Lepisosteus oculatus: one gene and its partner. The protein of the gene in region 1 interacts with the protein of each later gene in a pairwise test. Links are inferred from orthologs where the notes say so. Each region holds a gene or a part of one and is shown on either strand. Other genes may lie near its edges.

What was found.
Region 2: the proteins of pdcd4b (region 1) and eif4a2 interact in binary tests that used the Homo sapiens proteins (3 or more experiments, as listed by UniProt). The two-hybrid records come from large-scale screens. The link is inferred for Lepisosteus oculatus from reciprocal best matches to the Homo sapiens genes PDCD4 and EIF4A2.

The regions. Positions count from the first base shown.
Region 1 is NC_090699.1:39,627,437-39,642,955, reverse strand, and holds the start of pdcd4b (programmed cell death protein 4b), read left to right. Parts: upstream 1-7,426; 5' UTR 7,427-7,441; coding exon 7,442-7,495; intron 7,496-7,648; coding exon 7,649-7,709; intron 7,710-9,679; coding exon 9,680-9,985; intron 9,986-13,426; coding exon 13,427-13,521; intron 13,522-15,446; coding exon 15,447-15,519. UniProt on the Homo sapiens protein: Inhibits translation initiation and cap-dependent translation. May excert its function by hindering the interaction between EIF4A1 and EIF4G. Inhibits the helicase activity of EIF4A. Modulates the activation of JUN kinase.
Region 2 is NC_090708.1:574,769-590,670, forward strand, and holds eif4a2 (eukaryotic initiation factor 4A-II), read left to right. Parts: upstream 1-7,225; 5' UTR 7,226-7,305; coding exon 7,306-7,334; intron 7,335-7,925; exon of another isoform or gene 7,926-7,997; intron 7,998-8,221; coding exon 8,222-8,279; intron 8,280-8,367; coding exon 8,368-8,500; intron 8,501-8,540; exon of another isoform or gene 8,541-8,610; intron 8,611-8,963; coding exon 8,964-9,103; intron 9,104-9,440; exon of another isoform or gene 9,441-9,568; intron 9,569-9,657; coding exon 9,658-9,826; intron 9,827-10,004; coding exon 10,005-10,114; intron 10,115-10,456; exon of another isoform or gene 10,457-10,631; intron 10,632-10,697; coding exon 10,698-10,841; intron 10,842-11,597; exon of another isoform or gene 11,598-11,780; intron 11,781-11,857; coding exon 11,858-11,995; intron 11,996-12,209; coding exon 12,210-12,299; intron 12,300-12,700; coding exon 12,701-12,780; intron 12,781-13,011; coding exon 13,012-13,156; 3' UTR 13,157-13,795; downstream 13,796-15,902. Other genes in the region: kng1 (kininogen-1), read left to right, coding at 705-902, 1,893-2,012, 2,104-2,188, 2,778-2,950, 3,385-3,495, 4,071-4,163, 4,560-5,294; rfc4 (replication factor C subunit 4), read right to left, coding at 14,944-15,039, 15,694-15,810. UniProt on the Homo sapiens protein: ATP-dependent RNA helicase which is a subunit of the eIF4F complex involved in cap recognition and is required for mRNA binding to ribosome.

The DNA of each region.
Region 1 (15,519 bases):
AATATAAACATCCATTTCTGACCTTGCAAGATACAGAAGGAGAAGGCAGCATGATGTGTTTGTACTCTGTTTTGTGCTTGGTGTTGTGGCACAGACAAGGAGGACCTCTTTACTGCTCCGCTGTTAGAGTGGTGGACACAGTGCGTGCAGTATTGTAAACAATTTTGAATACAAAAGGATACATGTGTATATGATGCCCATTGCACAATATAAATTAATATATTTTCTGTAAAAATGAAATGATATCCAAAACAGTATTATAATGACTTGCTAAAATGTCATGGTTGTTAGGCATCCCATGAAGAAGTGCCACACCATTTCAAGGCCTCTGAAAGAATATGGACAGTGATAGCAGTGAAGAGTTTTCAATATTTAGTGAACATTATGGCTTTTTGAAACACACTTCTCATGATATGAGCATAGAAAAGCAAGTTATGGTTAAGGATTGTTACTCCTACTGACCGATTGATACCTAATTGTATTTATATTCTGAGAGAGATTAAAGAATCTGGTACTGTTGACAACAGGAAAACAAAATCTATCCGGAAGTGATGTTAATCTCCTCAGAATAAATTCCCTCCTTGACAGATGTGAATCCTGTAGAGATCTTGAGAATGACCTTGCTTCAAGTTCAGGTGTTAATGTCTCTCCGGGAACTGTAAAATGCAGAGTAGCACAAAATGCTCCCAACTGCCATATAGTAACTGGTTGCAAGCCATTTCTGAGGTGAGGAAACATACAAAGACAAATGAGCAAATACTTCTAAGCATCTACAAGGTTAAAGAGGCACAAACTGCACAAAGCCCACTCAGGAGGGAGAATATGTAATAACTTCACCGAGAAGAGACTAGAACACAAGGATAGAGATAATCAAAGCAACCCAATGCTACCACAGCCAGGCCAATCACAAGAGATGCGACCCAGTGAGGACTTCTTGGACATCTGTGCCGACAAAGCTGCTGCAGTAACCCCCTCTTCCAGGGGCTCTGTGACACTGATTCTGCACCAGGAATAGGCTACATTCCTACAGGGCTGAGCTACAGTACAGTACAGCATTCATCCTCAAAGTAAGCTTTCAAGCAAAACATGGCACTATAAAATATTAAGGAACAAGTAATAGGTTTATTCCATGCTGGAAAGAGAAGAAAGAAAACACAATGTTCCGCCGAAACGTTGTTTTCTTTCTTCTCTTTTCAGCATGGAATAAACCTATTACTAGTTCCATTGCAGCCTACAGTACGCATGCTGACGCAGCTACCCACCTGACCTATAAAATATTGGACCCATCATGAAGCAGCATACCAAATTGTTTAGGAAAAATGTATCTTGTGATCATGAGACCACGTGATACGTTGTTTACTACCATATAATGCCCCATGAATAAGAATTTAATTTTTTAAATGTCTACGATAGTAAGAGTCTTGTGTTCAACCATAAAATGTCAAGCATTGCCAGACCCTTTAAAAAACGACAAATTGACAATTATTTGGTTCTTTTTAATCTTATTGTTCGTGCTGCTGCTACTGCTGTAAAATACATTTCTTGAATACCGTGTTATTCTCGGCCGCCCTGACTCTAACGCTAAAGAACGTTTTTCAGTTTTAAATGGGGAGGCGCCCTCTAGTGGATAAATTAACAGAGGAGCAGGGGGTTGATCGTTTCTCATCTGATTGCAGAGTGCAGCATGAAATTTAACAGAAGAATACCAACAAAATAATTGCTACAAAGGAAACAAGATTACATATGTTTTTATTTTCCAAAGAAGCCTGTAGTCTTAGTTATTAGTTTTGGGAACTTATGTCTTCTTAGGTTTAATATCATTCCTACAGAGATCCTTCATGTGTCAAATAGGCATCTGTAGCTGCTGCAGTACTATCGGTTTGATTAAAGGTTTTGGTGCCTGTCTGTGTGGAGTCAGCATGGTCTTCCAAAGACAGGCAGGTTAGGTTTCATTGGTGAGTTTAAACTGTCTCTGTAATGAAAGCCACCTCTCATCCAGTGCCATTGCAAAGTTCTAACACGTCTGCAAACATGATGAGTTTTTTTTACTTGTTCTTTGTAAAAAAAAAACTATAGGAATGTCCTATTTATAATTCCAAGCATATTTGCAGACCCATGAAATGGCAGGTCGTGTAGATGTGAAAAAGTACTTTATCAAGTACTTCACTGATTCACAAGGAGAACGTGGGGAAGACCAGACTAAGCAGAATTCAGCCAGGACTTTGGTATTAATGCCCCCCTACTTTTTCTGAGTTTTTTTTTTACGCTTACATATCTTTCCAAACTACGAAAAAGAAGCATTGTATTTAAGAATTTAATAAACATAGAAAGGGAGACAGCATGATTGTATACATTATTTCATATTTTGCCATTAATGACAATAATCCATTTACCCATTTTCTTACCACTTCATCTAATTCAGTGTCGAAGTGGAGCCGGAGTCAATCTCAGCAAGCAATGTGGACAAGGCAGGGTATTCCCTGGACAGGACAAACACACTCACACCAGGGTCAATTTTCCTAGAAGCCAATTAACCAATCTACAGTATGTCTTTGGACTGCCGAAGGAGAGCAGAGCACCCAAAAGAAGCCCACACGATCCTGAGAAGAACTAACAAATTCGACACAGATAGCACCCCAGGTCCAGAATTGATCCCAGGGCCTGAGTGTTGTGAGGCAACAATGCTAACTCCTGCGCCATTGTGCTGGCCAATAACTATAATACTGTATATAATAAAATAGTTTTGTATTTTTAGTTCTGATCTTCTGTTCGTCTGAGGAAGATAAAGACCTGTTGTCTTATCTGGTTTAGTGTTAGTGTCTGTGAGTGAGACATGCTGTTATTGTTAATGTGATGTTTGTATGACATGAAAAGTCAAGGGTTTAGATGCCTGTGTGGGTGCTTACATTCTTTAAAAATAGTATTCCTGCTCTGCCGCGCACATTCTCTTTCTGTATTCAGGTCCTCATGATCCTTTCAGCTCCATCTGCTTTTATATCGGCAGAGCCTCACAAGGGTTTTGTATGATAAAATAAGAATAATGCACAGCACACCTATCTAAAGTGAAAAAAACAGCTCAAGAGCATCTCTCCTATCTCCCACGAACAAAAAATAAATGGTCACGCAAAGGCACAGTGCCATTGCAGTTAAGATTAAATGTACCAAAGAACAAGGCAAGGCCATGTTTTTTGACACACAGTAGTACGTGGAAACGACTGTCTTAAAGACACAACTTCCTTAGCCAGTTTGGTATTGCAATGGATTTGATTCCTTTAATCTTCAGTACAAGGCTCTTGTGCTTGTGCTTTTGCATTTCCTTTCCCCTGTCTTAAATCTAAAAGACACTAGAATGGAAAGGCTAGAGAGTGATCTGTAAGCAACCAATCTAATTACTGTGTACTAACAAGTTCCAGTGCTGGCTGTTGATGAGCTTAGTAACCAATGCAGATTCCAGTACACACAAAAAGAGCTTTTAATAGAACAGAGTACTGAATTAAAAATAATAATAATAAAGGCATCAATGTCAGGATACTGCAGGTCTTTTCAATCATCTATTTGATTGGACCTAAAAAATGGTTCTTATCCAAATAATTAGTTCAACTAAGTAATTAAGATTAGGGGGGGTAGTGACTTCTGAAATACATTATCATATGTTACAGTACCAAAGGACAGTTACTTTAAAGGAATTTAGACTTCTTGATTTGATATAAAAGACTCATGCTTTCACAGCTCTGATAACACTCTGTGTCATCTTCCCTTGCTTTGAACCCAGTGTTTCTTTCCTTCCAAAGCAGTGTAACCAGAGACAGATCTGTGACCAGCATACTTCAGTGGGCACAGACAGCTGGCAGTTCCTACAGTAGATTTATGAGCTCAGAAAAGAACAAATGAGGTGAGTGGCTTGCTGACATCCAACTAGTCAGAGCCTTTTGAAGAGCTGTTTGCAATCATGTGTCACCTGTAAAACTTTATATCCACCCTCTTCTACAATGACAGGCAATCTGTGCAGCATAAAATCTTACCACGTCTTTTTTTTTTAAACAAGATTTTGTTATTCACGGTGTTCAGCATTCATTTGAGACACTGAGCTTAGAACTCCCATGTTTTTCACATTGCTATCACAATTATTTGCTCTCCCTCAATAAAAAATGAAATAATTACAATTAAGTAGCCTGTGAGTTAGTGAAAATAACAAGAAAGTGAACCTCTCATTAAACTTGAAAAAAAAAACAACAGTTTGGCTTACAGTTTTGTGTGAAAAGAGCAATAGTGTCCACACCCTGAGCTGTAAAAGCAGAAGATGAAAGCCTTGTGAATTACTTCATTTTCACAGGCTATCCAAAAGTGGAAAATAAAAATCCTTATCAAGGACATTTGTGCACCAAATATTTACAAGTTTTCTTGTAAATGAGACATTGAAAGGTAGCTAGCCAATTTTTTGAAAGACAATGTTATTAATGTAATGCCTTCCCTTCTACTCTACTGTTAACTGTTGTCGTTGTCAGGGTTTCTTAACACCACCTTATCTTTTTCAGTTTCTAGGTTTCACACAAGGTTTATTTATATCAAAAGGAGCTTTGCCACCATAAATCAATGTTCTTCCCACTGAAAATGCAGGGAATGTACTGATTTAGCAGTTTACATTGTTAAAATATATGCTTACTTGAGCATTTTTGAAAGCAACTTCACTGTTTTATTTCAACAAAAGCTCATTTAAAAATGTAATGTGTTATAAAGTAAGTTTAATGCATGTGGAGGGTAATTTTGCACAAAGCAATTGCATAAAAATTTCGATGATTAATTCTCTGAAATTAGGCCCAATTTATCTAGGGTAACATAAGACTTGGATGCATGTCACCATGGTAACAAGTAGGCCATCATGCAGTGAATCAAAAATAAGTATATATTACAAACCACAGCGCAAGGAAGAAGAAAGAAAGGTTTTAATATTAATAATCTGCATGTTTACTAGAGATTAAAACTTAAACCAAAGAAAGAATCCATTCATTTTTCTGTCTATACCTGTCTGTGTATCTGTAAGTTTATCTAAACACAAAACACTGTATTATTGCTTTTTATCTGTGAACCAAGAGAGCACTGTACGTTGGATTGACAGTGAGGAGCTGTTATTGAGCTGCCTGTCACAGCATGGAGAGTGTTATTTACACCTGGATGAGGCTTAGTTTTGACCACAGTGCTCCACTTGACCCCTCTGTAAATGGCAGCTTCATTGCTGCAAAGAGGAGCAATTGGCCAGCGTCCCAGACAAGGGAAGTCTCACTCTCTTACTGCCGCCAACACGGAGGTGAGCCGTGGATCCACTTATCCCCCTTTTCCTCAGGAGGCCTGACGCCATCGCGGAGCAGCCCAGAGAGACAGTGGTACTGTACACTGCTGAGCCAGAGCAGTCCGGCTCCAGTCACATCTAATGAGCAGGCTGCCTTCCTGCTGCTTGGGCTGCTGGCCTGAAGGTGATCAAGCGCTGCATATGAGATAATATCTGTCTTTTTTGTATCTGTCCATTGCTGATTTGTAATTTCTTTTAGTGGGATTGTTTTCTCTCTCACTCGTTTAAATCCAGTGTAATCAGACTCATGCAGGAATTTAAGCAACATGATTGTACATTCTCAATGTGTGTTATTACTTTGGACATTTCATTCATTGCTTAATGTGAAACAGCTGGATTTTTTTATCAACTTCCCCACAATATACTGTGTATCAGGTATAATTTATTTAAAACCTATTTTTTTTATAACTAAGCACGGTTTGTTTTCTGGTTATTGTGAAAGGCACTCTAGCTGCGGGTTCTGTATTGTTGTACCCAGTCTTCTTGTGCTCAAATTATCCGGTTTAAAAGTTACCATGCGGAGAAAAAGAAATCCGCGCATGAAAAGAACGCTCTGGGTGCTTAAAAGAGAGTAGTCCAAGGACCGAAAGTTATTCTTGTGAGGTTGAATAGTAAGCTCTAATGACTCCCTATAACTACGCAAATAATTTTCATGAACTGAAAATGATTCAAATACATAGTAAATACATTTTAAAGAATTTGTATGTATGGGACCATCTTCCTTTTCATGCGTGCTGCTTCACATTGCTTTGAGAATTGCAAATAATGCATCATCAACAGTATGGAAGACAAGGGACGCATATACAGTAGCAGGTTTGTTAATCTAATATGCGTAACCGCATCGTTCGTAAATCACATGTGTTAAATACTTTTTATCACGGAAGTATTTTACACGCTTTTGAAACAATTTGTGTTAAAGCGCCAGAAAAGAGTGCAATCATATCCAGAATTCCAATGTCAGGAATTCTGATGATTCTCCAAAACCTCATTTTATTTGTCATTGTAGTGAAAACCTGCTTTTTGAAACAGTACTTTAAGTTGTATCAGATCCAAATTTTGTAATTATTTTGTCTAGTTTTGTTTCAGAAGTAATTATCAATGGATACTTACAACCTGGTAACCCTATATAAGAAGTGTATAGGGCTACCTCACCACAATGCAGTCGATTTGTTTAATTAACGCGCAGCGGTAGTACAGGACCGCCAACCTGTAGGTGGCAGCACATAAAAAGGTGGAATTGACTTGTTTTATTTATTTTCGTAAGTGAGTTTTTAAAAAAACATGCAGTGGTTCCGATAGGTTGTTGAAGTATTCCGCCTCCCTTCCTCTGACCAATAAAATGCAGGGGTGGAGATCATGTGACATTGTTGCTGGGCAGAGAAAACAAAAACAATCGAGACTTGGAAGTTGCAGCTGGGACTGGGTTTGAGTGAACACAGTAGGTTAGTACAACTAGTGGATACTTTTGCGGTCATAACATTGCACTCCAGTTGTAAAGTATGATCGCTTTTGTTCAAATTTTGTAATGTACGAGATTAAGAAAACAGAAATTAGGTGTTTTTGGAAGCTCTGATTGTTGTTGGTTAAGTACTGTAGATAATAAACATAGTTAACACTAAGTTGGCATACTCGGTATATAGTACAAGACTACAGGTATTAGTAAACGAAACAAGGACGTTAAATCAGAAACATGGCTCAGCTTCTTTTAGTGCTGTTGAATAATTAACTGCACCTGCTTTGCTGCATTCAAATTATGGCATCATGCTAATGTAGTGCAATTGATGCGTTAGTCTGCATTATTCTAAGCATTTACTGTAATGGGTCATTTAATGCAGTGTTTATCCACGGTAATGTATACATTTGTCATTATTTTACGTTTTGCATCAGGTACTTGTTTAATTTATCTGCTGGATTTGCAGAGCGAAACTCGTAGAATTTTCTAGAAACCAAGTAGCTTGCCAGTGGTACCCCACTAATGGTGGGGACCGTTTACATCATCTTTACAGCAAAATGTTTGAATGATGCTCTGGGGTATCGCCGTGGCTCAAAGGTATAGGAAACAGGGAATAAGAAATCAAGATCGTGTGTGACACAATGCTGTTCCCGCAGAGAAAGGGGGACAGAGGATCTCCGGGCATGTACGGACAAGTGTGTGACTTCAATGTCTTGCAACTTTCCTGCAGAATTTTCGTTTAGAAAAACACGTACACGACGTGCAGGGAAAGCCGTGTCTGCAAGTGTGATAAATTTGCATTTTTTGACGGAAGGATAATAACTTCGGCTTTTGTTTTGCTTTTGCAGCGGACCGCTTTGTGCACCATGGCGACCGAAATCGAAGCTTGGCTTAACGCTAACCACGTAGGTAAGATGCCTCGTTTGCTACACTCCCCCTACAGCCAGCTCGTTTTTTAACATTTCATGTTTTTTTTCTTGGATTTTAATGTGTTAGTTATGGACTTTCTCTTACTTTATATTACCGTGGCGCAAAATGCACGAAGGAAGTACAGGCTGTTATTTGTCGCTGAAGTTGGGGAGTCAGTTGGAAAGAGGTGGGTAACGCTGCTCTGGTGTTTAAGGAATCTGCTCTTGCATCCAGAGTGACTTGATAAAACATCCAGCTGATGGAAAGACAAAATGCGGCGACTTCCATACGTAGCTCAGAAACGACGAAAGACTGGAGTTCAGCATGTGCCAGCGAGTATATTTTATTAATTTTAAACGGCTTGTTAGATCTTCACTTAATGAGGTAATTGAATTGTACATTCTGCTTTCAGAGTGACGATTCATTTGATAAGGTTCTGAAATTGAGTTGTTAGTTTTTACGGAGAGCACTTTTCTCTAAAGAAAAGAATGGTATATGCTCTTAGAGTTGTATTGCAATCTTGCGTTTCTTTTCATTACTTTAAAAGGGTCATATCTCTAACTTCTAGTTATTCAGGTATCTGTAGTTATACCTAAAACTATAAGGAGGTTAAGTAAGTTCTGTAAGCATTAATTACCATCTATCTGTATGGTTTAATTCTGAACCACACCTTGCATTGACATGTTTAATTAAAGTGAGGCAAGCCCTTTTGCAGACATCACAGTCTTACATATGCAATTCCTGTTCACACAAAGTCATTTGAGCTTATTACGGAGATTATTGGGGGTCTTTTCAGTTGTTCTGGAGTGTCCTTTGCTGAAGTGTGTAGTTCCATACAGCTTGATTTTGCTTAATCTCAAAGTGTTGTGTAGGAGCAGCTCCTGACTGACTGTGATGGACTTGAAAACGCATGCAGAGAAATTCATGTGCTGCTCTCGCCACTAACCAGCTGCTCATTTGTAGTACGGCATTCTAGTTTACAAATACTGTTTTAAGTTTCCACAAATGTTGTCCACATCCTGTTTAAAATCGTGTCCAATAGATAAGTCACCTTTCTCTTGTTTGCAGTAGCGCAAACTGATCATCGTCAGTGTAATTGGGAGAAAGCAAATCTGAGCCATAAATCTGCTTCGTGAATCTCCTCATTTGGCCAAGGTCTTTTTATGTTTAGTTGAAGAAATAGATGCAGTTTAAGATCAAACTTAATTCAGTGGTACACTACCATGCATATCTTTGGCAATGGGACTTTTTTTTCCCAGTAGGACTAGCTTTGTGCCTTGTACTGCTAGAAATGGCAAAAGGTTTAGTAAGTAGTGTGACCAAATATGGTGGAATATTAATGAATTAAGTCTGATCTTAACTGCAATGGTAAAAACAGTGGAAAACATTGTTTCATTTTACACCTGAGAATTTGATGTTCTTGACTTGTCCTTTTATTACCTGTACTGACCTCATTCCAGCTGGCAAGTTTAATGTCGGATGCCTCACTAGACTGTCGCCAGAATCAGATTTGTATGTGTTTTTAATGTTTGTCCTGCGTGAAAGTACCATCTGAGTGAGGAGCAGAGCAGCTCTTGTCCAAGTGGATTTCTTCAGCACATCTTGAGAGACCTGTACTCTATACATTCAAAGACGTGCAGTTAATAAAGATGCTTTAAGCTTCTCCTTCCCTTTTTCTTCTGCTTTAATAGATTTGGCTCCTGGCTACAGTGGTTCACAGAAGGCAAATCTTTGTTTTCCTTCTGGCCAAACAGAATTATGCTGGAAAGCTTATCAACTTAAGTTTAAATGAAGGTTTAGGCACAGGGAAGAAATCTGTGGAAGGAGTTTGAATGTCAAGAGGCCAGTTTGATTGAAACAAGACCCATGATCTGTACAGGTGGTAACAGCCAGCCTGTTTCTTTTGAGATTTCCATAGTGGGGGGACAAAAAAATGTGAGTGGGACTGATGAGTGAATTGTCTTCTACAGCAGCCGAAGCTTTGAGTGACTCCAGTCCGTCTGGTGAAGACGAGAAGGTGGAGACCACCAAGCTGGACAATGAGATGAATGGGAACTGGATCACCTCTCCCACAGTTACCATCCACGAAGCGCGGGTGAAGGCCAAGGCCAAGAGGCGGCTGAGGAAGAACTCCTCCCGAGACTCTGGCCGGGGGGACTCCCTCAGCGATAACGGGGAGAGCACCCGCAGCCCGCTGGTCACCCCTACCAGCCCCAAGAGCAAGCTGCTGGACAGAAAGTCCCGGTCTGGGAAGGGCAGGGGACTGCCGAAGAAAGGTAGTTTTCTGCCAGTCTTGTCTGTTTTTCTGCAAGTCCTGCTTAATTCGGTAGTTATCTCCAAATATGTTGCATTAATTTTTAAAAAGATAAGATTATCAAGTAGCAGGTGAAGAATCCCAGATGTGATGTACAGAGTAAACTCGTAAATGTCTTTTTGTTTGTATGAGTTAGAAGGATCCTCAAACAGCTAGTTTTGCTGACGCCCAGTTGATGCAATTACCTAGATGAAAATGTATTTGATTTTGGACTACCTTTTACAGATAAAATAAGTGATATCCAGTTGATGTGAAAGTAGGTGCTAATATCCAGAACCTGTTTATTTGACCTACATTGCTCTCTGTTTCACTGTAGGTGGCTGTAGTAGTGGTTGGGTCTTCTGTTCATCTGGTGTACCCGTTTGGGGTTGAGCTCATACGTACAAATGCAATAGCACAGGATTTCAGTGTGTTACCAGGTAGTGCATTTTATAAGGGATCAGAGCAATTGAAAACCCCCTTTCTTGTAGTGTCAAGTGAATTTAAAAATTAAGAGTTGCATAAAGTGTTTATTCAAGTGCCGAAGTGCTTGAAAGAGTCACTGAATGAAGTGCTGCACAGATGTACCCCGTTGCCCAGATGCCTGCTTATCATGGGAATTGTGAGATCACTGTTTTTAAGGGGTTTACTGGAGCCATGTTTTTCTCCTGCCTGGTTTACTTACTAAGGTGTGATATAAAAGTGTTTCAGACAGGAGCACTGAATACAAACACTGTAGGACCAGTGGTTACATCCTTTGTCAGTCATTAAATAGGGTGTTTCCAGTACATCTGAATTTGAGTTGGATAAGTAAAGTTGATAATTACTTCAGAATTTAATTTTCCTTTAAAAAACATAAATCAGTGACTGCACAAAACTTGCATTAAACACAAGGAAAGCAAGTGAGGCTTTGAAAACTCACTGGTGAGTCAGGCATGCCCTGATATTTAGCAGCAAAGACATAACATTTGAAAAGGTAGTGTTTCATGCTGTGCTTTCTACATGGCCTTAATCAAACTTACATCTAACCTTTACACGGATGCGATACAAAAAAGCCTATTGCCATTCACCTAAAGGTTACAAGACACGGTAAAATATCTTTTGAAATTAATTTGCTAGGGGATTAAGATGCATAACTGATATTCTAGTTGCAATTTTTAGCTGTTACCCATCAGTTGGAGAATCTGACAGTGATATTTTCCTTGTTGTATTTCTGTAGTAGAAAATTAAAGTTTGCTTTTTGTCATACAAAGAATTTACAGATCAAGAAGATACATTTTGTGTAGGTGCACATCTTGTATGCAGAAAAACTACATATGGTGCTTCATTGTCAGAACTCTTTATTTTTAAACCAGCCATTTGTAAATTGGGAATAATCTTTTGACCGATGTAGCCCAGCCTCCTCTTTTAACCACTGCTGGTGTCTCTTACAGTTTCTGTTGACCCCAATCTTGGAAGTACGTACTGAGGGGCTACGTGCTGCACGATGATGACTTTGAGCCCCGTAATGAATGAGATAAAGGTGGACTTTCCTGTTAATCCCTCAGAGTACATTAGTCTAAGTCCCACATGAGTTATGATAAGATGGAACAATATGCCTTCTTTGGCAGACTTCCAGGGCAACATTGTTTTTCCAGGTCAGGATCAATTGTCAGAAAGTGCTCATGGTGCCACTGAGCAATTTGCTCGACTAGCTAGAGCTATTTTGCTCTCCTCTCATGTAGGATACCAGCCATTGTACTTACTATAAAAAAACAAATCCTAATTATGTCAGAATGGCTCATTTTAACACCAAGTAGTGTTTAGTTTGGGCTCTGCAAAGTAGCCCATTGAATTACTTTACTAATATGAAGTTTTATGTATGGAGATGATGGAGATGGTACCTTTATTAGGTATAATTGACTTGTACTTTAATATTTAGTTTTTTCTTGATAAGAAAAAAAGAGCTGAGATATACCATCACCACTTAAATAATCACATATTTACAATGTACAATGTCTGTTGGAGCCATTGCAGAACTAAAACCTGTTAAACAACTCTGGTTGATGCTGCAGTGGTATGTTTTAGTTGACTGGCAATTCTCATGACAATGACACAATTCTCATTTATTGTATCTTATTGATTCTAAGTCATTTTTTTTAACCTATATCTGCAAACTGGCAAAGCTGTCTTTTACTAAATGTTTGCACCTGCTTAAGATGACTAACCCGGAGGTTTGTGTGCCTGGAAATGATTGAGCTCATTTATAAAAGCAGCAAATGGAACACAAAGATCGATTTAGGCTAGGAACAGAGATCAGATTTTCTTTTTGGGTGTGTTTTTTAGCCGTTTTCTTTAGTTTCCAGGGTTAAACAGATGGTCTGCAGCCCAATAACTTACAAGGACAAATACAAAAAAAAGTGCTCTGTCGGAGACATTGGAAATGAGTGAGTGTGCATTTGGTCTTGGAAACCAATAGTAAAGAGGTGAACCTGCATGTGCGCCTGCTCTTGCTACCCTTATATTCTGAGCAGGTTCAGCAGCAATGCGAATAATGAGAAAAATGTTGTTTTTTCTTTTAGTGCAGTTAAGTCTTTATTTGACCAATTTAACTCCTACACCTCGGTCATAACCTGCTCACAATTCAGTGAGACTTCGATGCAGCACTGCAGACAGCTTGGGGTTCATAGCTTGGAATGCTGTACCTTTCAGCATGATACTTCACTTGTATTGCTCAGATAAATATTCTGCTGCCTCAGTGAGTTCTTTCCATATTGTCATCGTCAATGATGGTTTCTTCTTCACTGATTTTGTCGGTTTAAAAAAAGGATTGCAACCTTAAAGGAACAGAAGGGGCTCCCTGTGGCAAAATCCTCAAAACTTTTATGCTGTAAAGCTGGCTGATATGCCATTGTAGTATCCATCCATCCATTTTCTGTTTTATCCAATTCAGGGTCATGGTCAGCCAGAGCCTATCTCAGCAAGCCATGGCCACAAAGTGGGGTACACCCTAACCGGGACGCCAGTCCATCGCAAGGCAGACACAGACACCCACACACTCGCGCCAGGGCAGTTTTACCAGAAGCCAGTTAACCTACCAGTATTTTTTTTTAACTGTGGGAAGAAACTGGAGAACCTGGAGGAAACCCACGCGAACATGGGGAGAACACACAAGCTCCACACACAGGCACCCCAGAGCTCCAGGGTTGAAAGCAGTTCGTTTGTGATGTAGGATCAAGTGAAGCTGAAACCCGAAAATTCAGCCAGATCACATATATACAATAACAGCGGTGCAGTTCTTGATCAGTAGCCAGGTTTCTAGTGTTTATTATATTTACAGTTCTGTACTATTGATCCCTGCAGTACACCAAAAAGCACCACTTGGGGATAATGATTATGTTGGATCTTGTTCCTGAGGAGTATGTTTTTTACTCTCCATTTGTAGGTGGCGCTGGAGGTAAAGGAGTTTGGGGCCCTCCTGGCGAGGTGTATGACCTTGAAGAAATCGATGTCCGAGACCCAAATTATGATGAAGATCAGGTAATGATGGCTGAATTTCTTGCACTCCTGTCCAGGGTGTGAATTCTTACCTGCCCAACTTAAACTTTGCCATTAAATTTGGAGAACAATTAAAATTTTAGTCAATTATGCATAAATTATTTTAATTTATCTACATATAATAGCATCTTATAAGTTCGTAAACCTCTTTACTTCAAATGTGAACTCATCAATCTTTTGGAGTTTTTGGAGTAAAGTATTGAACAGTTTAACATGGACCAGTAGAAAGTGCAGAAGAGAATGGAGAGGCACAGTCGTTTTATGTGCATTAGTGTATGTAACGAAAAAGAAGCATTATACCTATATTAGCCCACTGCTCCTAAATAGCTCTGCATATCAAAATTTCTTTCCTCTTGAATGTGTTCACTGTGACGTATTTAAATACAGATCATTTCTAGGATCTACAGATTACTCTTTTTGGTACATGAGTACTCCTTATTTTTGTGGAGCTTATCTAGACTTGGTTTTGCTTCTCTTGGTGTTTATAAAATTTCTTTAACATTCTGTCATAATACTCTTAACATGCTTGCAGTTACTGAGTGATACTGTGGAAACAATAGCTGTGTTTTGTTTAAAGTTTTTAAATACCATCAGATACATAACAAATGTTTTGAGTAACACACTACTTTAAAAAATCCAGTAAGGTACTGTATGAATTGTGTTGCAAGATGTGGATAATTGTGGAAAAGCAGTACTGAACCTTTATTAATAGTGATATGGAAAAACCAGAGTATCAATCAAGTATCAATTTAAAAAACTGAAATAATGTTAACATAAAAAATATTATGTGATGCTTAGCTATGTCTTTTATTTTCCTACTAGCTCTGTCTGTACTTTGTTTGGCATAATGACAGTGAACAAAATTTAAGTTAACGCCACTACTTGGCTTTCATGGTCCTGTGATATTGTAGGTTATCACAAAACAAGGCCCCTACTGTTAGCATAAAATGTCTTGGGTCACTGCTCTGCAAGATATAAAGCACTGATATTCTTTGTTGTTTTAAGTATTGTACTGTGTATAAGCAACCCTTTGTGTCCTAGCTTACAGTATGTATCACAAGATCAGATGAGTTTGTTCAAGTTTGAATCAGTCCCATTAAACAAATACTGCCAAAGCTACTACAGTTCAGGAGGAAAGTACTAATGGTGTGTGTGGGATGGGGGAGAGTGTTGCAAAATTGTAGACCGCATAAATAAAGCTAGACCTAATTAAAATCCAAATTTATGAAAGTAATATTGTGTGAATAATTCCCCTAATTCCTGCAGCATTGTGAATGAAGGTAGAGCCTTGTTAATGGAACATGTAGCCTTACAGTACATTACCCTTGATTGTGCAACAGCAACAAGTACTTTCTCCATGGTTGATTGTGTATTTTCTATGACACCCTGGAAAATCTGGTTAATATACTATTTTTGCTTTTCTTGGACTGGATAATGTGGAAGCTAAGCACAGGGAAATAAATCGGGGTTAGACTGCACTGTGGTAAAACTGAATTGCACAAATCCTCACTTACTGTCATACTTGGAGCATTTGTGAACAGCCAAATATAGCTTTTAATGAAATGTTCCAAATAGTCAAGTTTGTACAACAGTTTTGGTTTTGGTTTGTATGTGCTGTATAAGTAAGTTATCATTCCTTACACAGTTGTGTAAAAATTGTTTTGATCAACTTTGTGGTGGCTTTAAGTGGTAAAACTGCCAGTTCTTTTCTTCTTGTATTACTTGGGTATAGAGATTTTATGCTGTTATCAGATTAAACTTTGACCTTTGTCCTTATTACCACAGGATACTGATTTAGGGATCACTTTCAGAAGTAAAGCTCCTTCAGTTCAGTGTAATTGAGACGTTGCAGTATAAAGAGGTTAAAATATCCAGACAAATTTTCATTGATGTAACTGGTTTCACAGGAGAACTGTGTCTACGAAACTGTGGTCCTTCCACTGGATGAGGGGGCCTTTGAGAAGACTGTGACACCGATTG
Region 2 (15,902 bases), on another chromosome or scaffold:
TGTGGGAGTGTGTAACAGGCCACTCAGCCATGGCGATGGCAGTGATACCCAGGCTTCTCTTTCTGGAACAGATTGTTAGATCAACGAGGTGCTAGTAACCATGTGAGCTGGACAGGTGGAATGGCCTCCTCCTGCTGGTAACCTTTCTCATGTTCTTAAAATTATTGTTTAAACGGCTTTGTAACCAATTATAGTAAACAAACAAAACGCTGCACATGTGAAAGCATGTCTGCATCGTCCACCCATCCATTTTCTAATCTCTTTGTCCCATACAGGGTCAGGGGGAGAACTGGGGCCTACGCTGCTCAGCTGTCTGTATCTTTCTAGAAGGGAAAAATTCTTAAAACAGGTGACATACCTGTAGCTGGGACAGCACTATCTTTGTAAATCCCTGACTTTTGAAACCAAAATATTGATTTTTAAAGTTTGCAAGCCTTGAGTGACCGAGGAGCACTAATAAGCAAACATTTGCATTCTGCCCTGGCCAATCGCTGTCCGATATCTGCATTGACCAGGTTGGGACATCTTATTTGAACAGGTTTGTTTGGATGAGTGGGCTGTATTTGCAGTACCAGGGGTTATATATACTGTAATTATCAGTCAGGCATCTCTGAAATGGGAGTCTGAGTTTGGAGAGGACTTGCACTGGGTACCTCTCTGTCCACACTGCTGTGAAACCCTTCCACTGCTCATGTGCTTTCACAATGTTAAATATCAAGCTTTTAGCAATTTTTTCAGTCTCTTTACTGATTTGTCTTAAAGGGGCTCGTTCCGAAAAGATTCAAGCTTTCTGTGATGACAAAGAGGTTGAGCTAGCTGTGGATCATGCCATTTTAGAATATAATAAGAACCTTACCGGGGGCAACCAGCTTGCACTCTTCCAAATCAGTGAAGCCTGGAAAGTAAGTAGACGTTTTTGTCTCTTTGTGATACACTGCTGGGGATGTCAGTTTGAACAGAGTTTGAACTCTGTGCATTTTGTTAACATGCTTCAAAGCAGAATTCTAGGTGGTTTCATATGAAAAGTCAGTTTCCGCTGTGTTTCTGTTTGTGTGTTCATCTGTCTAACTGTCTGGTGGGCTTTTGAAGTGTATCAGTGGTGGGAAATGAAATATCTCACAGTTCAAGCAGGTAGCTGCGTCAGCATGCGTAGGTTTATTCCATGCTGAACAAGTAAAGGTTTATTCCATGCTGAAAAGAAAAGAAACAGAACATGTCAGCTGTGGAGCTTTCTTCGGGTGTGAGAAAGACAGGAAAGTCAGCAGAGATTATATAGAGACATCTAGAAAACGATTTAGGGGAAGGCATAGTGGGTCACTGCAGAAATAGGCTGAAGTATTACAAGTAGGCTGCTGTGTTGACAGCAGCTGAACAGTGCTCTCGGCTACTTCTAAAGGACAGAATTATCATACAGTAAAACCCCAATGACTTTGTTTTTTGTCAAAAGGCTTTCTTATTATGTGTACTATTGCTTTATGAAAGCGTTTAGCTGGAGAAAGTTGTTCAGTTACTACTTTGTGAAACTCTCCTACTGTATGTTCTCAAACTTCTTTACAAAATCCATGATCCTGAAAATGGAGGCTTGAGTTATCAAATGATATTACTGGCCCTGCAAAAGTTAGACTGTGATACCCACAGCCCAGAAATCCACTGAAATGGATCCATTATACTAATACTACAGGTCCAGGTCCTTCACAATAACACCCTGGTGAAGTCAGAGGTGGGAACACGATGTTAAAAGCCTGACAAATCCAGCATTCTTGTAAGACTCTGATTTTATTGTCAGATAGTTTGAATTAGTAAATTAGGGCATTGAGCTGTGAGTGACTGTTGAATTTCTCTGGGCGCCCGCATTGTGAGGGTTAAACGGTCTCTCTCCTGCTTGTGCCCAGGAGGTGAGTGACACGGGGACAGAGATCTCGCTGCTCTTTCTGGTCAAAGAGTCTGACTGCCCTGTGGGGAGCGACAAAGTCTGGAAACAATGCGACTATGTGGCAAACAGCCAGCTGAGGGTAAGTCAGCTCCTGCAGTGAGCTTCTGTGGTTGAGGAAGAATGTTCCAGCAGAACTTTGTTTTAATTTTTTTTTAATTTCCATTTCCCAGGCCCCCTGGCCATGCACTGCTACAGTTGTAATAAATCATCAGGAAAAATCGCAGGATGTTACGTCAGTGGAATGCGTTGCCTCTGGTAAGACTGAATCAATTGATTAATCAATTGAATAATAATTAAGTCACACAATGGGGGCATTACAGTCAGTTAAGGATCTTTGGCTGGGTGTCAGCTGAGTCACTGCTCACAGACGAGTTGCCCTGTGAAGCTTAGGGTAATATTGTCAGCAGTGTCAGAGTGGTTTACTAATCTATTACAGCTGGACTTTAATATTATTTAAAGTCATCGTTCTGCTTCCAGCTGAAGAAACGTTTACCAATAAAAAAGGTTTATTTCCCTCCAAAATACATTTTGAAAGATTGCCCTTCAAGACCTTGAAAGTATCATAACTAAAAATGAACGGGAGAAGATATGACGACTAATTGATGCCAACAACAGACAGCAGGTATTGCAAGTAATTACTGCCAATTGGAAATATAAAGAAGAGATGCAATTGATACATTGATCGAGCATAATTCCTTGCAATGTTGCTGAGTTTCTGATATTATAACGTTCACAATGTCTCCGTTATTTTGTAAATTAGTTGACAAAGGTTTCTAGTTCAAGTATGTTTTGAGATAATTAAATGAGACCAAAAAAATCAGTTTGAATCCTCTGTTTTTTTCAGTCGAACCGAATATTGTTCCTGAATTTTATCTGTGTGCTGGGTGCCCTCATGAAATAGACTCCAACAGCGACTCAGTGACAGAAATACTGCAGTTAGCGATGGAGAAACTGAACGCCCAGGACAATTCTTCACACCACTTCATCGTGTCCGCAGTGACCAAGGCTGTTTCACAGGTTGGTCTCCACCCTGTTGAAGCTCATGAACAATACAACTACACGTTACAGATTGCTAGTCTATGTCTCACAGTATCAAGGGCACAGGAGTCTAGGATGTTATGCTATTGATTCATGTTCCTTTCACTTATTATTTTAACAGCAGCTACAACAATAAAATTCCAGTTTAGAATTTCCCAGACACACTCCTTTGACCCTCTCTAGAGCCAAAGTGAAATCGGGCCTCCTGTGACCTCCATAGCCATTCTGAAACACAGGCCACATGCTGCAACAGCTCTTTTCTCTGTACTCGCTGACTCTCTGAGCCCAGGCCTCGCTCTCTCATGATGCAGACTAAAGCTGGACTTCTTGTGATCGTCCGGACAGCTGCCTCTGATCTGCACGTTGCCTGTTGCTCAGGGTGACTCCCTCAATGCTTCCTTTCAATTCTTTAGGTGGTCAGTGGGATCTTGTATAACATTGATTTCGAAATTCGCCTCAGCAACTGCTCCAAATCCGAAGTGGTGAACATAACAAGTGACTGTCACCCTGACGAAGACAGAAACGTAAGTGACATGGCCCAGTGTGCATGTCTCAGTTAACCAAATATGCAAAGTTAGCGCTATCTTTATTTTATGCAAAAGAACACATTATGAAACACATATGTTAAAAACTAATGTATTGTAATGGAACTAAGACCTTAAACAGGTGTTTCGGTAGAATGAATTGAATTATTGGTTGAATTTTCTAAATTAATCTCTACACAGTTAGATCATCTGGTCCATTAGCATTGAAAATCGTGGTCACATCCAGATCGTCGTGGTCACAGTATGTTTTTTGCCATCAATGACTACAGTTAATGTCCTTTCAGGCCCTGCAGCATGTGCTCGCTCACTGCATAAACAGGGCTCTTATTCAGAGTGCTCATAACGATCTGACAGTTTCAGCAAAGCCCCGCCCACAACCCACCCAGAGCTGGCATCAGATGTCATGACTCCCTTACCGAGTCCGGGCGGTAGCAGTGAAGGGAGGTGCATGATTGAAAAACGTGTAAGAGGTTCTACAGCAGCTCAATGTAACAGGTCAGCTTGTGAGCCTGTCTCTCCACCTGTAACCTCTGCCCTTTCTCGTCTGCCCTCAGGTTTTCGCCCAGTGCAATTCTTCCGTTGTTGTTGCACCTTGGAGGCAAACAACTGACCCAACTGTGACCTGTGGACCCCAAGTGCATGTACCTGTAAGCATTTACATTTATTATCTGGGGAAGATGATGAAGCGGTTTTAGTGATGCTTTTTACAGCCACCTTTACATACATCTCATGACAAAAACAGCAAAGCGGCTGAATTTGTAGCACAGCTAGAATAAAAAACAAGCCCCTGGGAAAGTCGTGTGTAACATTTTTTCTTAAACTTTTTGCCGAGGTCACGTGTAATAGTTAAATCGTGCTTTTTAGAATCTGTCTTGCTTTATTGTTTGTTCATTCATGCTAATTTTTAGATATTCTTTGTGAAAACTAGTGCTCAATATGATTCCTGTGCAACACTAGCAATTTTTAAATCCCACTTGGTGATTAAGTTGCTGAATGATGAGAAACATTCTCAGCATAGCTTGTGAACTTTCTATTTTTTATAGAACACCTTCGCCAGGAGGCCCCCTGGCTGGTCTCCTTTCCGAACTGCAGCTGTGGCTATAGACGGTGCCCGGCCTGTAGCACAGCCTCTCCCAGGGCGTCTCATGCAGCAGGATGTGCCCATGATACGCCTGGATCGTGGGCTTCACTCCGGGCGTGGACACAGCCCAGGCCATGTACAGGGTCCTGGACAGAGTCACAGCCGTGGACAGGGACACGGACAGGGACACGGACAGGGACAGGGAAAGGGACACGGACAGGGACACGGACAGGGACAGGGACACGGACAGGGACACGGACAGGGACAGGGACAGGGACAGGGACAGGGACAGGGACACGGATACGGACATCAAGAGGAATTTCCACCGTTCCTGCTGCAAGATCCTGATGTGTCTTCTGAAGAGTCTTCGGAAGCTACAGGAAAACCCCCTGTCCTGGCCACAGCAGAGTCCCCTGTGCTGGTGGTCGAAAGTGCTACGCAGGGCTCTGGCCCAGGACCGGTGATCGGTCAGGACTTAACGGAGGCAGGTGGTGTTCCACTGGGGTCAGCTCCCATTCCAACGAATCCAACGGCTCCGACGACTGGTCCTGCAATCTCGCTGGGGTTCCCCCTGCGTGAGACTCCGTCCTTCCACTGCCCCTCCAAGCCATGGAAGCAAGAGCCCCCCCAGACGAACCCCACATCGCCTCCTCTAAATCCCCCCTCCAGCTTCGACGACCTGGACTTGTTGCCCTAAATAAGTCCCAGAGGCTTCTGTCACTAGACCCTGATGTACAGTAGGTACTGTGCATACAATTAAATGCTTTCCTACGTTTATGATGCAGTACTAAATCATCCCAGAAACATAAAGGAAAAGAAGACCCGTGCCCAGGACTATATTTTATGACGTACTGCTATTTCACTCTTATTTGGCTATGGTGGATGTAATTTACCAGTGTTTGAAAGTTATTAAAATACACAGTAAATACCAAAGTTGTTGTCCTTTATTTCTAAAGGAACTCTAAAATCCACACAAAACAAAAGCTTTTCATTTCACACTTTGACATTATTTTCAGTGTGTTTTGAAAGACCTGTGCTTTTGAGCTTTAATCAAAATAGTTAAAAACATCTTTAATGTATTATTATTATTATTATTAATTTATATGACTGTTATGATATTTAAAAACATTGTAAACTAGAAAAGCACTGAAGAAAGGTTTCCCTTCACTCTGGAGAGTGAAAACTTAAACAACATAATAACAGTTACAAATGAGAGGTCTCCTGCGATTTAAAGGTTCTGTTCCCTTTAGTATAGTAATTATTGATAAAAAACATCATCATCATCTGCTTATTCCTGGTGAAGGGCTGCAGTGCTAACAGGCTGCGCAGGGCAGGGCAGACTAGACCCCTTTTTCCCTAGCAACAGTCTCCAGCTGCTCCTGGGGGATTCCCTGAGAGACCTACTCCCTCCAGCGAGCCTGGCCGTGCGCAGGAGACGGCCAGGGTGCGTCCTCACCACAGGCCCAGGACACCTCAGCTGGCTCCTCTCGATCCCGGGCGGCAGCAGCTCGACTCCCGCGATCCCATTCTCCCTCTCACCGCCCCGACACTTTGATAAAAAGTACAAAATAAAAACACACTTAACTGTTTCCCTTGATTATATACATAATATATATAGTTCCAGTGGGTAGCTAGGTCAGCATGCGTAGGCTGCAAAGGAACACGTAAAAGGCTCCACAGCCGAAACGTTGTGCTTTCTTTCTTCCCCTTTCAGCATATTACTTGTTTGTAAATATATATACAGTAGTTCACAGCTGCTGGCAGAGGTGCCACTGGCAGCGCAGGCTTTTGCCTTCGGGGCGTTTGGGTGTACGACCATACGACAGAGACACCAGCTGTGGGACTGGAGGCCCTTTAATCCAAAACCTCAGAGACGAGAGCGCCAGGCCAGATCCAACTCTCTTTTTCAAACACCACCAATTTTAATCCACCGCCTACTCACAGGAGGGCGAAAGGCTCGCTAATGAGCCTGCAGGCCCCGAGGCATCGTGTGTATCGGCTGAATACCCTGGTTAAAATTCAAGGTAATTCTGTAATCTAACTATTCCGATCAAGTCGCAGAGCTAGAATTTAAAAACTGGAGACCTCCATTAACTATTACTGTACTTTTCAAATAATTATTCGGACGTGTGATCAGCATTGTTTTGTTTTATTTTCTAGTTGCGTTTAACTTCAAGGTTGATTTTGCTTGTATACACATAATAACACACAAATAATACAAAAAGTTTGAAACTTTCCCTGTGCCCCTGTAAATTACCTAGTTTCTGGAAAACACCTGGTACACCGCTGGCCCACTTACGACTACTAGCGGCGAGACCCATGACACTTCACTTCCTGGAATGCAGCCAATGGGAAAGCAGTGTCCCAGAACTGTGGACGGAACTTCCGGTGTCCTCATATGCAGGGGCTTTCGGGAGACCCCGTAGTGAGCCGCATAGCCCTTTTCTTTTACTGCAATATCCTTCCGCTGAGTTATATAGTCCGAAATGCATTTTGTTAAAAAAAATATTACCTTATATTCACAACGCATCATAGGAACGTACACGCATTTCTGTTCTCTGTGTATTTATTATGGGGCTTCGGGAGTGAGAGGTGGGTGTTTGTCGGGGGGTTTCCCCCTTGCCGGAAGCTGGGGTCCGGCTAGATAAAAAGATGAGCGGGTGAATGCCTCCTCCTTTTCAGTTGAGCGCTGAAGCTTCGGCCGGATCATGTCAGGCGGTTCTGCGGATTATAACAGGTAAAAATCGACAAGAAAAAACAGAACCAGCCGGTCTGATATTAAAATATAACCATCTTTTATTATTTCGTGTTCGTGCTGCTTCTCGGTATGCCGAGGTGTAGCGGTTCCTTCGTCTTGGAACGTTTTTCGCGTACTAGATGGAGAGGCGCCCGTGCCGAACTGGGGCTCTGGAAACGCCTGTCGGGTTGTGGGAAATATGTTTCGTGTAATCGTGTCCGGCGGCTGTGCAGCCGGAACACCGAGCTGTAGGCTTTTTTTGTGCGCTGTCGGGCTTGTGTGGGTTTAGCGAGGGCGAGAGGGGGGCGCTCGGCGAGCTGCCCACCCAGTTTCGGGCTAGGCCGTGATTTTTTTTTCTCTCCCCCTCCGTGTGGAGGGGAGCCCACGGCGATCTCTGGCTCCGGGCCCTCGGCGTGCTACTGGGCGGGAGCGCCTTGTGCCTGCCGGTAGCCTGGGGCCGTGAGCCTCCGCCGGTCCGCCGATGAGCACTTCTGTAATGGAGTCGTGTTCCCCGCTCCCGCCCTGCCCGGCTGCTTACGCCGCGGGCTCGACGGCGGTACAGTGGAGTAACGGGTGGGAGACGCTCGGACGCAGTGAGGTGATGGCCTACCATCTTTCGGGACTGACCAGTAATGGAGACACCCTTTTTGCTGCTGATCACTGCCGTCCGAGCCGTCCATTCCACGTGGCCGGGGTGGGGGCCCCCGGTGGGCTCGCCTTGGGGGGTGCCCGCACCACTTCTTGCCGTACAGGGCCCGAGTCGAGCCCCTGTGTCTGCTTAGCAAGGCCTGGGCGAAACGGAATCCCGGGTTGAAAGTTCGCAGTCTGCCTGGACCGAGTTGCTGGAATTCGCTGACGTTTCGCTTCCACCCTCTTGGTTTTCGCAGCTCTAGAGACAGAGACCATGGCGGCCCGGAAGGAATGGAGCCTGATGGTGTCATCGAGGTGAGAGTCCGAGCGGCGTGTAGGAGCGGCTCGTTTCGGGTGTACGACTTGGCACACGTGGGCTTATCATGTCTGCCTCTTCCTACAGAGCAACTGGAATGAAATTGTGGACAACTTTGATGACATGAACTTAAAAGAAACGCTCCTCCGTGGTATTTATGCCTATGGTTTTGAAAAGCCATCTGCCATTCAGCAGCGAGCAATCATTCCTTGCATTAAAGGTAAAATGTCCAGTGTGTCACTTCTGCATATTGCTGGGAGGAGTGAAATGATGGTATTCCATCTTTCGGGACTGACCTGGAATGGAGATAACACTTCTTACTGATCACTCTGACCAAGACACTGGTTGAAACTTCTTAAGAGATTGTATGAGATTCAGAAATACCAGATAGGTTTAAATCACACTTTTAAAGCAAGGGGGAGTTCAGGTGCCTTTGTGGAAGTGTGGGGAGCTATGGTATGAGTGCCCCTCTAATAAGCACAGTGCTCACGAGGGACACTAAAAGTGAGCCCCCTAGGGTTTTAGCACCATCAGAACTGGCATATCAGCTAGTAGGTGAAATTCAAATCCTCAGCAAGTTGGTGCTGATGAACTTGTAACTTTTGTTACTAGATAAATATTAAATTGTACCCTTAAAATGTTCTACAAAAGTTGATCAAAGCTTATTGCCTTGTCTTTTTCAGGCTATGATGTCATTGCTCAGGCCCAGTCAGGAACTGGCAAGACGGCCACCTTTGCCATCTCCATCCTGCAGCAGCTGGAGATTGACCAGAAGGAGACGCAGGCTCTGGTCCTGGCTCCAACCAGAGAGCTGGCTCAACAGGTATGCCGCACCTGAGGACTGAGAGAATACAATGTGGCACAGTAAACCAAGGCAGCATGTTTGGATGGTCTTCCAAAAGAAGAGGTACTAATTTTTCTTTGGGAACAGGTAATAGGTTTATTCCATGCTGAGAAGAAAGAAAGCACAGCGTTTTGGCTGTAGAGCCTTCCGAAACGTGCTTCTTGTTTCAGCAGGGAATAAACCTATTACTTGTTCCTTTGTGGCCTGTGCATGCTGATGCAGCTACACACCTGAACTATTTTTTGTTCAGCCTATTGGTACTGTTCAGGACTCTTCATTTCTTAATGTGAAAGTTAATGTAAAAATTCTAATTGTTTTGCAGGATAAGTTACAATACAGCTGTGAAGTGCTCTATTGTCGTTCCCCCTGCAGAAAGAAACTCGTTTCATACTATCCCTGACTGTCCTGTCTTGTTGACTGGCAGGGACGCTTGGTCACGAACACTGTCATTCTGCTTTTGCATTTTGTGTTAACGTACATATTTAGTGTTGTTGTCCTGTAGTTCTGACACGGGATTCTTGGTTTTCTGTCAGATTCAGAAAGTAATCCTGGCTTTGGGTGACTACATGGGTGCCACATGCCACGCCTGCATTGGGGGCACGAATGTGAGGAATGAGATGCAGAAGCTGCAGGCGGAAGCCCCCCACATTGTTGTGGGCACCCCTGGGCGGGTGTTCGACATGCTGAACAGGAGGTACCTGTGTAAGTATCTGCCCTTGATGGGCTCTCTTGCAGGGAAGAGGTGGTGAGCTAGTGTTTGGAACTGCGCTCTAGAGGAGAGAACTATTATTTTAAAACATTATCACTGCAGTATCTTGCACATAAATAGAAATATTTAAAGGGGAGTGACCTTGAACTAAAATGTTCTTTGGTTAAACAGCTCCTAAGTGGATCAAGATGTTTGTTTTGGATGAAGCTGATGAGATGTTGAGTCGGGGATTCAAGGATCAAATCTATGAAATTTTCCAGAAGTTGAGCACAAACATCCAAGTGAGTGTTCTTTTAGTGTTCTTTCAGTAAACTGGGTGACACAAATTCACAAAGAACTGCATTTAATAAGTATGGAAGACAAATTATAGCACTTTTATGCTGGTGCTTTTCTGACAGTCTTCACAAGAGCCATGGATACTGTTCCATGTTTGATCCCCCCAGAAAAGTTATGCCATTTGCACACTTGGAAACATGATTATTCAGAAATGGTTTTCCTTGTGGGCATATTGGCCATAATTGTAGTTCCAGTATTTTTGGAATACCTCTGTTGGAGGTGGGATAGTTTGGGAACAGTAGGTGAAGACTTTGGTTCATCTGGCGTATTCCACTTTTATGTGGAAGTCTTCCTTACAAAAGAACTGTGCTAAAACTGTGAAATCCATTTAATGGATTTGACAGTAATGCTAGCAGAGTATAAACGGGAAGAAGAGTATTTGCACTGTACTGCAAAAGAGACTTGGTTGGACCTCTTTCTTAATGTCCAGTGTCCATGTTCTCAAGGTCCAGTGCTACATTCCTTGCTTGCTTGTTTGGAGACTCGATTCTAAGAAAGCGGTTATGGCAATAATGTGACATTTTACAGGTCGTGCTTCTCTCGGCTACCATGCCAGCTGATGTGTTGGAGGTGACCAAAAAATTCATGCGTGACCCAATCCGTATCCTCGTGAAGAAAGAAGAGCTTACCTTAGAAGGTATCAAGCAGTTCTACATCAATGTAGAAAGAGAGGTGGGTGTTATACTACAGACTGCACTGCGTTGTGCTATGTAAAGTGGTGGTTGTGGAGGGGAGTCCCCAAAGCGCTTTGAGTGGAATGTCCAGAAAAGTGCTATATAAGTGTAAGCTATTATTATTATTAAAGTGATAACATTCCTTGCAAGTTAGCCAGCAGCCATATCACCCTGCAACTCACAACCCACTGAAGCTATGCAGGTGTGAGCCTGGTCAGTACCTGGATGGGGGACCTCCTGGGAAAATACTAAGGTTGCTGATGGAAGAGGTGTTAGTGGGGCCAGCAGGGGGCGCTCACCCTGCGGTCCATGTGGGCCCTAATGCCCCAGAATAGTGACGGGGACACTATACTGTAAACAGGCGCCATCCTTCGGATGAGACGTAAAACCGAGGTCCTGACTCTCTGTGGTCATTAAAAATCCCAGGGCGTTTCTCGAAAAGAGTAGGGGTGTAACCCCGGAGTCCTGGCCAAATTTCCCATTGGCCCTTACCAATCATGGGCTCTTAATCCCCATCTATGAATTGGCTACATTACTCTGTTCTCCTCCCCACTGATAGCTGATGTGTGGTGAGTGTTCTGGCGCACTATGGTTGCCGTCGCATCATCCATGTGGATGCTGCATGTGGTGGTGGTGGAGGGGAGTCCCCATTACCTGTAAAGTGTTTTGAGTGGAGTGTCCAGAAAAGTGCTATAGAAGTGTAAGCAATTATCAATTATTATTTTCTGGGGATGGGGTTTTAATTATTTTTCGTTCCTTCTAGTAAAAGCACAGTGCTGAAATTGTGAGACTCAAGCCTCTTTGGTTTGGCTCTTGTGATAATGCCAGCATGAGTACATCCAAGAAGGAGAGCAAGTGCACAGCATTGGAATGAGACTAGGATGGACCTCTTTCTTAATGTCCGGTGTCCTCTGTCTTAAGATTCTGTGCAACACTTTGGATTTAGAGCTTGTCTTTTTTTTTGCTATACAAATAAAATCAGGTTTTTACTTTGGGATTTCCCCTCTCTTGCAGGAGTGGAAGTTGGACACGCTGTGTGACTTGTACGAGACTCTGACAATCACTCAGGCTGTCATTTTTTTGAATACAAGAAGGAAGGTTGACTGGTTGACAGAAAAGATGCATGCCAGGGATTTCACAGTTTCTGCTCTGGTGAGATCAGATTTCCTGTTCTGCTCAGGGTAGCAGTGCAGTACTTGTCAATGTCCTGCACATTTCTTGCTGTCCCCTTTAGCACAACAAAACAGGCAGTGATTAAATGCTCTTTTGGACCTTTGACTTTTGCACACTGCACATGTATAATGTGTTCTGTTGTGTGGCGGGTTAAAGAGGGATTGTTATCTTCATCTTGTGTATGTACTTGCAGCATGGAGATATGGACCAGAAGGAGCGAGATGTGATCATGAGAGAGTTTAGATCTGGATCTAGTCGTGTTCTGATCACAACTGATTTGCTGGTGAGTACCTGTTACTTCTTTATCTTAAGATGTTGGTTTTGCATCTTTTAAGTCATCAGTTAAGTTTCAAACACTACAGTGCTCTCCAACATTTGCATGTGAAAGCATTTCAGTACCTGTTAAATACATTGTAGAGCTGGAGTATTTCCATTTGGAAGAAAATGGGACTAGAAGAATTCTGCTTTTGAGGAAGTTGTTAAATAGAAGGCTATCCAACATAAAGATTATAGAACCATGAAGTTTTGTGAAAATTTACATGGTGTAGCTAGTTTGCCTTTTAGAAGGATGTCATTCAGCTGTAAAAACCCAAAGTGGAAATTCTCCTAAAATCCAGATTTCAGTAATTCTCCTTTGTTAGAAAATTACTAGAAGAGGTCTAAGTGAAGTGTTTTGTTTTTAAGGCTCGTGGCATTGATGTACAACAGGTGTCTCTAGTCATCAACTATGATCTACCCACTAATCGGGAAAACTACATACACAGGTGAGTGACAGTTGAAATGAAATCCTGGGGTATTCCCCACTCTAGTCTATAACTTGAGCTTTTCTGGTACGTGGTGCATGTTGAAACTGTTGAGCGTAATGTTCAAACTAATTCATTAAAGCTATAACTTTATTGTATAATTTTATTTCAGATTGTAGTCTTAAGAGTGAATCGTGTCTTTGCTGGTTAAATCAGACCTGTAACTGACCCGTTTTCTTTCGCTCTTTGCAGAATTGGTCGTGGTGGCCGTTTTGGCAGAAAAGGAGTTGCTATAAACTTTGTTACTGAAGAAGACAAGCGGATTCTTCGGGATATTGAGACTTTTTACAATACTACTGTTGAGGAGATGCCGATGAATGTGGCTGATCTGATTTAAACCCTGGGATGAGATTGATCTTATGCGGTGCTCGCTGTTGTTGAATAAACGCGTGCATTGTGCTTATTTTATTGGAAAATATTGAATCTTGTCTCAATGCTGAAAACGGATCAGAAATCCAGATTTTTGAAAAGTGAAGCGACATTTGTCGTGAACTCTTGTGAGGATAGCCTTAGGCTTACTCTTCAGAGTTAGACTGCTGGGGTGGGACATAAAGACATGGGGTCTTTAAATTTTTTCTTTATTAGGTTTTTTTTTCCTAGTTTAATAAAGTTGTGTGTGTTAGATGTTCTCTATCATTTAATAATTTACTTATGGACTAAAAGATATAAGTGCTGTATTAAGTCTGCCAATTATGTGAAATTAACATATTTGCAGTTATTGTGAAGTTTGGGTCAGTGGGGATGGCCTTCTAAATTGTCAAAGCACTTTTAGTTCATTTTGTGGAGATGTATTTATTGAATAAACTATTTAATCACTTACGGTCTATTCATTTGTAACATCTCAACTTGTTTGAGCTCTTCCTCCTTTAATGTGGGCCGTTTAAAATTCGCTTTCCTGACCTTTTAATTTTGTTTTAATCATGAAGGCCAAATTGTTGAAAGACCCCATTTTGAAATAAAGAGGAATATGTGGTTATGTGTGTTCTTTGTTTTCTAGCTTTCAAGACCACCATGGGATCTTTTTCCTCCCTTAAATTCTAAATTTTTAAATCTAGCTGTGGGTCAACTAAATGAATTTGAAATTGCAGTACTTGTATCTTTAAGTCAATGCCACTTCCATTAAGTCCTGCAACACGGTGGTACTTAGGGATTTTCAGTGTTTGTCTTGATTCAATGTTTTTCTTGTATTGACATTAGGAACTTGCATTCCTGAATGTTGCGAAGCACTGCTGTTCGCTAACTTACATCTGTGCTTTAGCATTCTTAATGGTATTACATCTGCATTGAATATAAGAGTATGAATTAAACTATGGTCTTAAACTGCATTTAAGTTTCATTTCAATAGCTTAAATGGACTTTACATTGCTAAGTAAAGTTTTTTTTTTGCATGTCAATGTATACAAAAGGCATAACTAGATTTTATTTTGGCAATTCTGTTGCTGCACAACCAATTAAAGCTTCAATTGAAAGCCTTGTTCTTGCTTCTGTAGTTCCAGCTAAGTGCTAGGTTTGCAGAAAGGGTATTTAGTTTTTGGAGAGGTGATGTGAACTTCACTGTTCAGTATCCTTAATGGGAGTGGCATGAAATGAAGGGTAAGGTTTATAGCCACATTGGCTCAGATTGATGCATGGAAACAAGCTCCCAAGATAAATGGGTGTTTTAGGATTCAGAATTGATTTCATTATTGCCAACCCATTCTCTTGGAATAACTTTGATTTTAACTATAAGTGGTGAAGAGTACCCTTAACAAATAATACTAACCTTATCCATCACCAGAAGTAGAAGTTTTTCAAGACCATGTGCCATTTAGTACTTTGGTTCTGCAGTGGTGTATGAATTGACAATCTGCACCAAGCTATACATGTGCCAGAAACATTCAAAGTGCAAGCCATTTCTCAAGTGAAGCACAGTAGCCAACCAGGACAAACTACAATACAAAGTACATTCTAGATTTTTTCCTTAGTTTTAATATTACAAGTGATCGTTTAAAAATATACAATAAATGCTCTTTTTTCCATACAGATCATTTGGGCACCAAAATGAATGCATTTTCTATACCGAGGCAAAGTTTAAATTTCAGGGGAAAACGTCTGCAATTCCCTGTGAAGTTTCAGTAGGTCCGTTCAGTTGTTCTGGGAGCTCTGCTGCATAATAACAGAGCAGAGTGCGATCATCTGCAGGAACTCATCAGCGCCATCAGCCAAGCACTTATCCACTTCCTGTAAAGGAAAATCCAGAATGTTCTTACTTGCTCTTATACATCAATTGAATGCTTAATTAATACTCATCCAAAATGCTGACCACTGCAACTTCAAGTGGCAGTACAATACTGGAGGTTAAACTGTAAGTGCAGTAATTTGCATCTTTACTGTTATTTTTGGAAAAGGCACAGGAGAATAGTGGATCTATGTTTTCTGAAATAACTGGTAACATGTTTTTTGGTGGGCCAGAAGACTTAACATGGTTTATATGTGTGGTGTGAGTTTTTCAAGTTTGATTAACAAATGTCGATAGGAACTCGGCAACAGCTCCGTGTTTCACTGTCATCACTGCCAGGACAAGACGATTATGTCCTTTGAACCCAACTGGGTCAAGTTTAAAAACTATTTTTTAATTGGGTGTGGGGGTGAGTGTCACAAATTTTCCATGGGATATAAAAGATGGAGAAAAACGGTGGCCCCAGAGCTGGGTGTCCGTTCATTAGTGAAAACGGACGTCTCATTCCCTGAAGCTTTGCGATTCAAGAAGCCCTCAGTGTTCCCCTGAGCCAAATATCCCAGCCTCCTTGTGCTCTATCCCTGACCCTTAAACTGACTTAGATAAGTTACATCTACCAGCTGATGCGGACTGGCATCACCATGCCAGAACCTTACCGCCATTTTTTCTGCGATGGCCGACTTCTGCTTGTCGTTCAGGCGCTCGTCCTCGAAGACGGAGTCATGAAGCTGGTTGAGAATTTGCGTAGCCGCAAATCCCTGGTCTATCAGGTCCTGCGATTTACAGCAAGAGAGCCCATTAAGGCGACAGTATTAACATGAAAGCACTGAGGTGCTAATTGATAACCTTCTTCTGGGTCTGTGAC